Linked DNA regions of Canis lupus familiaris. The protein of the gene in region 2 purifies or fractionates together with the protein of the main gene of each other region. This does not show direct contact. Links are inferred from orthologs where the notes say so. Each region holds a gene or a part of one and is shown on either strand. Other genes may lie near its edges.

What was found.
Region 1: the proteins of NEDD1 (region 2) and TUBGCP6 purify together in Homo sapiens (affinity purification with mass spectrometry; 3 studies listed by BioGRID and IntAct, with this or other methods). This does not show direct contact. The link is inferred for Canis lupus familiaris from reciprocal best matches to the Homo sapiens genes NEDD1 and TUBGCP6.

Annotation. Positions count from the first base shown.
Region 1 is NC_049231.1:17,930,160-17,933,593, reverse strand, and holds the end of TUBGCP6 (gamma-tubulin complex component 6), read right to left. Parts: intron 3,409-3,434; coding exon 3,214-3,408; intron 3,133-3,213; coding exon 3,000-3,132; intron 2,935-2,999; coding exon 2,721-2,934; intron 2,636-2,720; coding exon 2,436-2,635; intron 2,342-2,435; coding exon 2,250-2,341; 3' UTR 2,235-2,249; exon of another isoform or gene 1,834-2,234; coding exon of another isoform or gene 1,660-1,833; exon of another isoform or gene 1,565-1,659; coding exon of another isoform or gene 1,408-1,564; exon of another isoform or gene 1,378-1,407; 3' UTR 1,279-1,377; coding exon of another isoform or gene 1,093-1,278; 3' UTR 644-1,092; downstream 1-643. UniProt on the Homo sapiens protein: Component of the gamma-tubulin ring complex (gTuRC) which mediates microtubule nucleation.
Region 2 is NC_049236.1:36,842,132-36,846,543, reverse strand, and holds the start of NEDD1 (protein NEDD1), read right to left. Parts: upstream 3,006-4,412; 5' UTR 2,876-3,005; intron 2,647-2,875; exon of another isoform or gene 2,627-2,646; intron 502-2,626; 5' UTR 494-501; coding exon 358-493; intron 244-357; exon of another isoform or gene 85-243; intron 1-84. UniProt on the Homo sapiens protein: Required for mitosis progression. Promotes the nucleation of microtubules from the spindle.

The DNA.
Region 1 (3,434 bases), on a different chromosome or scaffold from region 2:
GTGCCTCCGTCTGCCGGCACCCTGAGCACTGCCGCGTTCCAGGAGCTGACTTCACAAACACCTTCTACGTGCTGAGCTCCTTCCCAGTTGGGCCGGAGGCCCTGGGCCTGCCCGAGTTCCTGGCCGCGCTGACCGCACAGTGTGCCTCCCTGGAGGAGCTGAAGCTCGCCTTCCGACCCCAGATGGATCCCCGGTGGGTACCTGGGTCTCACTTCTTAGAATTTGCTTCCAGAGGGAGACCATGTAGACCCTGGGGAACGTCAGGGAGAGCTGGCCGAGGCAGCTTGAGCAGGGAGGGTTCGGGCCCCCGGGGGAGGGACGGCAGCGCAGCCACCGTAATGGGGAGGCTGGTGGAGCAGGCTGGGCAGCAGCTTCCCAAGAAGAGCTTGGGGCCCTGAGGCTCCCCCCAGCCCATGCTTTCCCACACTTTCTCCCACTGCGGGCAGCACACGGTGTCTGAGCCCACACTCAAACCCGGAAGCAGCGTGTTTTTAAATTTTATTCATGAGACCAAGAGAGAGGCAGAGACACAGGCAGAGGGAGAAGTAGGCTCCCTGCGGGAGCCCCATGTGGAACTCGATCCCAGGACCCAGGATCATGACTTGAGCCGAAGGCAGACGCTCAATCACTGAGCCCCCAGAAGCCCTGTTTGTGGGTTTTAATAAACAAGCCAACAGACTGTGGTCTGAGAGAATTTAGCGCAGCAGCGTGGGGGGAGGCTGATGGGATGGAGGACCAGCTGGTAGGACCAGGTCCCCCCCCCACCTCTTCTGCAAGTGGGAAGGACATGGCCTCGTGGCCACCATGGAGAAGCGGACGGCAGTGACCTTGCCCTAGGGAGAAGCAGGTGCCCAGCAGTAGCGAGATGGTGCCCTTACCCGCCCGTGGCACCTGCCCCCTCAGGGAACACGCGTCCCGTGACATGAAAGGGCTGCAGAGCCAGGATGAAGGGCCACCTCGCTGGTCAGGCCTGGGTCACCCCCTTGGGGGGCAGCCAGCTCTGGCACAGCAGAGCCACTAAAGCGGCTGCCACCTCCTCCGTGCCCCGCCAGCCAAGGGTGGGAACGCGCCTCACACTGCCCCTCTGCACAGGCAGCTCTCGATGATGCTGATGCTGGCACAGTCCAACCCTCAGCTCTTTGCGCTCATCGGCACCCGGGCGAACGTCACGAAGGAGCTGGAGCGTGTGGAGCAGCAGTCACGGCTAGAGCAGCTGAGCCCGGCCGAGCTGCTGAGCAAGAACCAGGGCCACTGGGCTGACTGGCTCCAGCAGTACAGGTGAGGCTACGGGCGCGGACTCAGGGCGCCATGTTCCCAGGAGACGCCACCCCGTGCAGGGAGCCCAACACAGGAGTGGTGCGGGGGAGGCGGAATCTGCTGGAAAGAACAACTTGGATGTGATTCCAGAGCCCGGCTGGAGAAGGACAGGGAGGGCGTCAGCGACGAGGAGGCCTGGCAGGCTGAGCGCATGCGCGTCATGCACGCCAACAACCCCAAGTACGTCTTGCGGAACTACATCGCACAAAACGCCATTGAGGCTGCAGAGAATGGAGACTTCTCAGAGGCAAGCTCACCCCCGTCCCCTCTCCGTCCTTGGGTCCCGCGGGAGGACAACCGGGGCAGGGGCAGCCCCTAAAACTCCTCTCCACCCTTCTCCAGGTACGGCGGGTGCTGGAGCTTCTGGAAACCCCTTACCACAGGGCCGAGGAGGCTGCTCGGGTCCCGGAGGCCACGGAGCCCGAGGGGGCCAGCGGGGCAGACAGTGGGGGGCACTCCTACAGCAGCAAGCCCCCACTGTGGGCGGCCGAACTGTGTGTGACGTGATCCTCGTAACGGCCTTGGAGGCCTCCACACATGGAGCCCCGAGGCCCTGAGGCCCCCTGAGTCCTTGAGGCGGGGCACACCTGTGGAAAGCCCACCCCGTCTCTCCATGACGGCCGAGACGTCCAGTCAGGCCCTGACCTGTCTCTGTCCGATGCAGACTCAGCAGCCCCACCCCACGCTCAGTGCACTCCCTACAGAAGCCACGTTGTGCAAGGACAAGAGCTCAGCAGAGGGAAGCAGGCCCAGGGGGTGGGGCCTCCCCACCCACCTTGCCACCCTTGGAGGGGCTGGCACACGTGGCTCCTAATGGGGAGACACAGCCCCCAATAAACCAGCCTCTCCCCCTGGCCCGTCTCCGTGTGGTTGCCCTGCCCGCCCCCTGAGGAGGAAGCGCCAGGGGTGGGGGGCACCTGTGCGGTGCAGCCTCAGGCATCCTGGTAGTAGTTGTTGAAGTTGATGCGCAGCAGGAAGTCCTCCAGGTGGGGCTGGTAGCCTCGGTTCACCAGCTTGGTCACCACTAGTTGGGGGGGGGGGGGGGGCAGCTCAGCCAGGCCCATGGGCTGGCTCCTGCCCACTGTCCCCAAGCCCACCCAGCCCTGGGGGACAGTCACCTTTAAAGAGGAAATGGGAGTAGTACTTAAAGGTGCTGTAGGACTGCTGCATGAGAGCGAAGTTGGGGTGCTCAGCACCCCGGGGGCCGCTGGCCGGGACCCAGGGCTGCGAGATGAGCTGACTACGGAACTTGAGGACAAGGCTGAAGATGCTGTGGATGACGTTCATAACGGGCGCAGCTTTCTCCGTCAGCAGGCCCCTGGGGAAGCAGGCAGCTGCCAGTGGGGGGCGCCCCCCACTCCCCCACGTGGCCCCAAGGAGCGGCCGCAGGCCCAGCGGCTCACCTGAAGACCGCCTTGTGCAGGTACTCAGCGTGCGCACGCTGGATCTCCTCCAGGTCGCCCACCTGCGCCAGCCGGGCACGGAACTCACACCAGGTGACGTGCAGGATCTGGTTGGCGATGTAGCCCTGGGTGACCTTGACAAAGTGCTGCATCTCGTGCTTGAACAACTGCAGCTGGCGGAACTGCACGGAGCCGGCGGCCTGGCTCACCAGAGCTGTGGGAGGGCAGAGGGTCAGCCATGGTGCCAACCGGGGCTCGCCCGGGGCCGGCTGGCCTCACCTGTGCGCTTGAGGTGGAAGCAGATGTCCTTGAGCGTCCACATCATCAGCTTCAGCTGCAGCAGGAAGGAGAAGATGCCGCTGTACCTGCTCAGGCAGCCCTCGGTGACCACAATGTTGAGGGGCCAGTCCACCTGGGGGTGAAGCCAGCTTAGCACGCCCCCCACCCGATGGGGCTGCCCCCCGGCTGGCCCCCTCGGCTCTGCCCTGCTGACCTTGTACCTGAGCTCCAGGCAGCTCAGGACGTCCGGGGCGTTGGGAGCAAACGCCTCGGGCAGGAACTTGAGGGCGAAGGACAGGTTGGCGGCATAGGGGGTGTCCCCGTGCAGGCTGTACTGCAGCGCCTTGCTCAGCACAGAGTTGAGCACCAGCGGGTTGAGCAGCTCCCCGGGCGTCTGCCCCGCCCCCAGCTGAGGCCGGAGAGAGCACAGGTGTC
Region 2 (4,412 bases):
ATACAGACCAGATCCATAAATAGCCAAATGTAGATGCGAAAACTCATTCCAAAATCTTTCAGAAGTTTTCTCACCATTACCTACCTTATGTCATTAGGGTTCAATGATGAACTGTTGATAACAAAACTAATTATATGGTCTGTATCTAGTTATAATAGTTATACATATATAAAATATATATATTTTTAGGATGCACCTATAATAAACAATAAAGTGAAACCTCTATTTCACTTTATCTATCTAGCTTTCATAGCTATGCAAAATGTATTTTTTATTAGGCACATGTAAAAGTTTCATTGATACCAGTTATTTAACCTAACAAAAAGTGGTTATTAAATTAAAAAAAAAAAAGGATACTATTGCTGCTCCAACACATTGAGCTGATTCCATGTGGTGATGTGTGTGGGCTGAATTTATCCACCAATGTCAGAGATGAAGCATCCCATATTTTAATATCATCTCCAGATGAAGCAAATCTGAGGTTTTCCTGCATGACTGCACCTACAAATAGTTCAAAACAATATATTTTAAAAAAAAGTAATCAAGGACAGGCCAAAATGAAGGATCTAATCTAAATCAAGAGGCTCTACTGGTTCACTTTTGTTCCAGAAGGGATGCTCACCACAGAGTAGCTGGAATGATCCTTCTAAAATCACATTCTCTCATTTGACCCTCCCAATGGCTCTCCACAGCAATTATAGCTAAATCCAACTTCCTTGGCATGCCTAACATGACCTGGCTCCGGTGAAACTGTCCTACTCCTCTTCCCCAGGGCCACCAGACTCACAGGCCTTCTTGCCTTAGTCTTTCCATCTGCTGCCCCCTCTGCCTGGAATGTCCTTTCCCCAGATTTCCTCTGGTCATCTCCTTCACCTCACTTCAGTCTCAGCTCAAATGTCTCCTCAGAAAAGCCTTCCCTGACCGCCATGGCTAACACAGCCCATACCAGTTACCCTTTATGCAGTTTCATTCTTTTTTTTTCATGGCATCTTCTGTTATTTGCAACTCTTATTTGTTCTCCTAACAATGTCTGCCTCTCCTGACTTGAACAAAACAAAGATCCTGAAAATGGATTTTGTCTTTTGTTTACGATCAGTCTTGAAATGTTCCTGGCACACAAGTAATCAAATAACTGTTGGCTAGAAAACTTCTTATGTCTTTTAAAAATGTATGATAAACTGTAACATCCCTGCGGGTCAGAATCCAATGACTCCAGTTTTTCCCAATAACTCCAAAATTAGCAAATATAGCCAAAAGAGATGTCACTAAGTCCCTATACCAATATTTGTTCTACAATGCCCTCATGCATATTATTTGTTCACAGTAAATAATTCAAATACACAAGAACAGCAAGTAGAAGCAATGCCAGACCAGTCAGTAAAAAATGCTTGGGACGCCTGGGTGGCTCAGGTCTTGATCCCGGAGTCCTGGGATCAAGTCTCACATTGGGGTCCCCAAGGGGGGCCTGCTTCTCCTTCTGCCTAGGTCTCTGCCTCTCTCTCTCTCTCTCTCTCTCTCTCTCTGTGTGTGTATCTCCCATGAATAAATAAAATCTTAAAAAAAAATTGCTCAAAAATATACGGAAAAAAGGAAGGGAACAGGGCCTAGAACTATATACCCTCCACACCTTCCTGGTGTGGAGTGTTAAGACTACAACACAATACTAGTGATGTCACAGAGTCCCAAGTCACCAACAAAGCATCACATTTATGTCCAGTATATCTTATTTCAGAGGCCAAGTTAAAAGGTGTAATAAATTATGGGGCCCACTTGATTCTCAAGAGACAAAAAAGAATTTTTTTTAATGTGCTTATGAAAAGACTAAAACTTTTGTTAACCAGGACAGTCACGTATGGGGTTCATTATGCTTCACGCATCTGCTAAGTTCAATGTTTCCAAACGCCGACAGTCATCTGTTGAAATGCAGACCGGCCGTGTTTGGATTTGGGGCCTCGACACGTGGTAACGTGCGGCTGGTTCCCTGCTCAAGGTGCAAGTGCATGCTGCCAAGGGGGTCTCTTAAACCCAGTACACACAACTTGGGGAAAAAATGTCTTCACTACAATCGTACACCCTCCTGCTGAGCCGTGTGGTGTAAGCGCGGAAAGGTGACATTTAAGTGAAGGCTGAGAAAAAGTGGGTTCACAGGATCGGCCCCCAAGTCAGGGGCCAGGGGCCGCGGCAGTCACTGGATGTCCGCTCCCTTCTCTTCGAGTGGACGGGGGGGGGCACCTGCCCCACCTGCGCCTTCGGGGAGCCGAGCACCTCCTAACGGAGACGCACTGATTACATCAGCGTCTCCAACAAGGTCCCATCAAAGTGAGCGGTCAGGACGCGAGGCGGCAGGCGACAGCCCACCCGAATTTAGGGGCAGCGCCTACAGGGCGGAAACCCACAATCCACCACAGCCCTTCGCTGCAACAGAAGTTCTTCAACTTTCCTCCGCCCGAAGTGCACTTTCCTCGCAGGAGAACTGCTCAGCCGGGGTTACCTTCTGAGGTGCATGCGAGCCCGAGGTGCATGCGAGCTACAAGGGGGAGGCGGCCGGCGGAGAGGCGGCCAACTTTCCGGGGGACAGCACCCCACTCCCGTCACCGCTCGCCCCCCCCCCCGCGACCCCGCCCACCTCTCAGGGCCGAGCCGGGGACCGTGGCCCACCGAGGTGCGCGCCCCCGGCCCGCGGCTCCCGGGCACTTCCGCGCCAACCCCGCGGCCCCGGCCCCTGCCCGACAACTGTCCGGAGCACCGGACGGGCCGGGGCGCGCGGGGCCTGGGGGCCTCCGACCCTTCCCCGGGGTGGCCGGAAGGCTGGCGGGGTTCGCGAGCGAGCAAGGACGCGGCGGGCGGCAGCGCGCGGAGCCCCCCGGAACCTCACCTCTCCACCGCGGCACCCCGGGGGCCACGGCGCGGCCCGCTCCGGCGCTGGGCTTCCGGCTCCCGCCCGGACGGTTAAACTTGGGCGGCCGGAAGTCCCGCCCGCGAGTGGCGTCAGGGGGAAGGGCTGCTCGGGGCGGGGCGGGGGTCGCGGTCCCCGCGGGCGGTGGGAACGGCCTCCCGGCGGCTCCCCCCGCCCCAGCCTCGGTGGTGGTGTGCATTTGTTCGCCGCCCTCCCGCCGAGCCCCCGGCGCTAGGCGGGACTGGGCGCGGCGACGGGTTAGCCTGGGAGGCCGTGCGCGGCTTACCCCGCCGGCCCTGGCCTCGGGGAGCTTACGCTCGCTCGCTACGAGGCCGACTTAGAGAGTCAAGACCCGAAGAGCGGGACTGCCCGTTGCTTCAAAGGAAAGCTAACCCGGGAAGAAAAATAGATGAAAGGGAAATGAGCACGGATATGGGTTTAGGAAAGATTTCATCGCAGAGGAAACCATGGAGAGCAGATAATACCCCGTGCAATTTACAAACCAGAGGGCAGGCTCGGAAAAGCGAAAAAAAATACCCAAATGTGTAAGTGCCCGAGGTATCTGACTTCAAAACCCATGGTCTTGCTTCCTGATCATTGATCTTTCTTAAAAATGCTGCAGGGTCAGGAACATCAAACACCACCTGGTTGGGAAGGCTTTTGAAAGGGAGGTTTCCCAGAGTGGAAAAGAGAAGAGCTGAACTGAGTCTTAAATACCAAGGCCTTTTCTTTTTCTTTTTTCTTTTTCTTTTTCTTTTTTTTTTTTTTTTTTTTTTTTTTGTAGCTCTGATAACTTTTGCTGAGAATACGGACAGTAGGGCATTTCTTCTGCAAACAGGATTATTCTTTCATCACAAGTGTGGGGAAGGAGTAGGAGTGGGTTTCTGAACTAGGTACATAAGCCCCAGTTATTTGTACCCATGTTGCAAATAAACCCAAAAACTCTGAGTGCCGTTTCTTCAGATCAGAAGTTGCAATTCTAACCAAGTTGTAAAGATTGGTGGGGAGCCTCAAAAGGAGAAAGATAGCAAGCAGCAACTGCCTTAAGTGTATAGTTTACGGTTCTTGAGTTTATTAAACCCAATTTTGACAGGAATAGGAGCCAAAAAAAGTTGGAAAATGAGGAAATAGGGTAAGGGAATAAGGGCAGGGAGAATTGGGGCAAATGAGAAAGAAAGGACTATTAACTAAATCTCTGAAAAGTTAGAGCCAGAAAGAAAATTGAAAGTAGAATTTATGTGAAACGAAATATAAAAATATATGTCATATAATACGCGTTATATACTCTGATATAACAAATGTATACAATAGATGTTGAAAAAAAAAAATAGATGTTGAATGCATACTTTACTAAACATATGTATGCATGTATAGATATAATGTGTATATGTATACTATATATACATGTATAGGTCATCCTTCTAAAATACTATTATATGTCCCCCACTTTACATATGAAGAAACAGAAGTTAAGTAACTTGCCTAAGGTCACACAGTTAAATGATATGGACAGGAA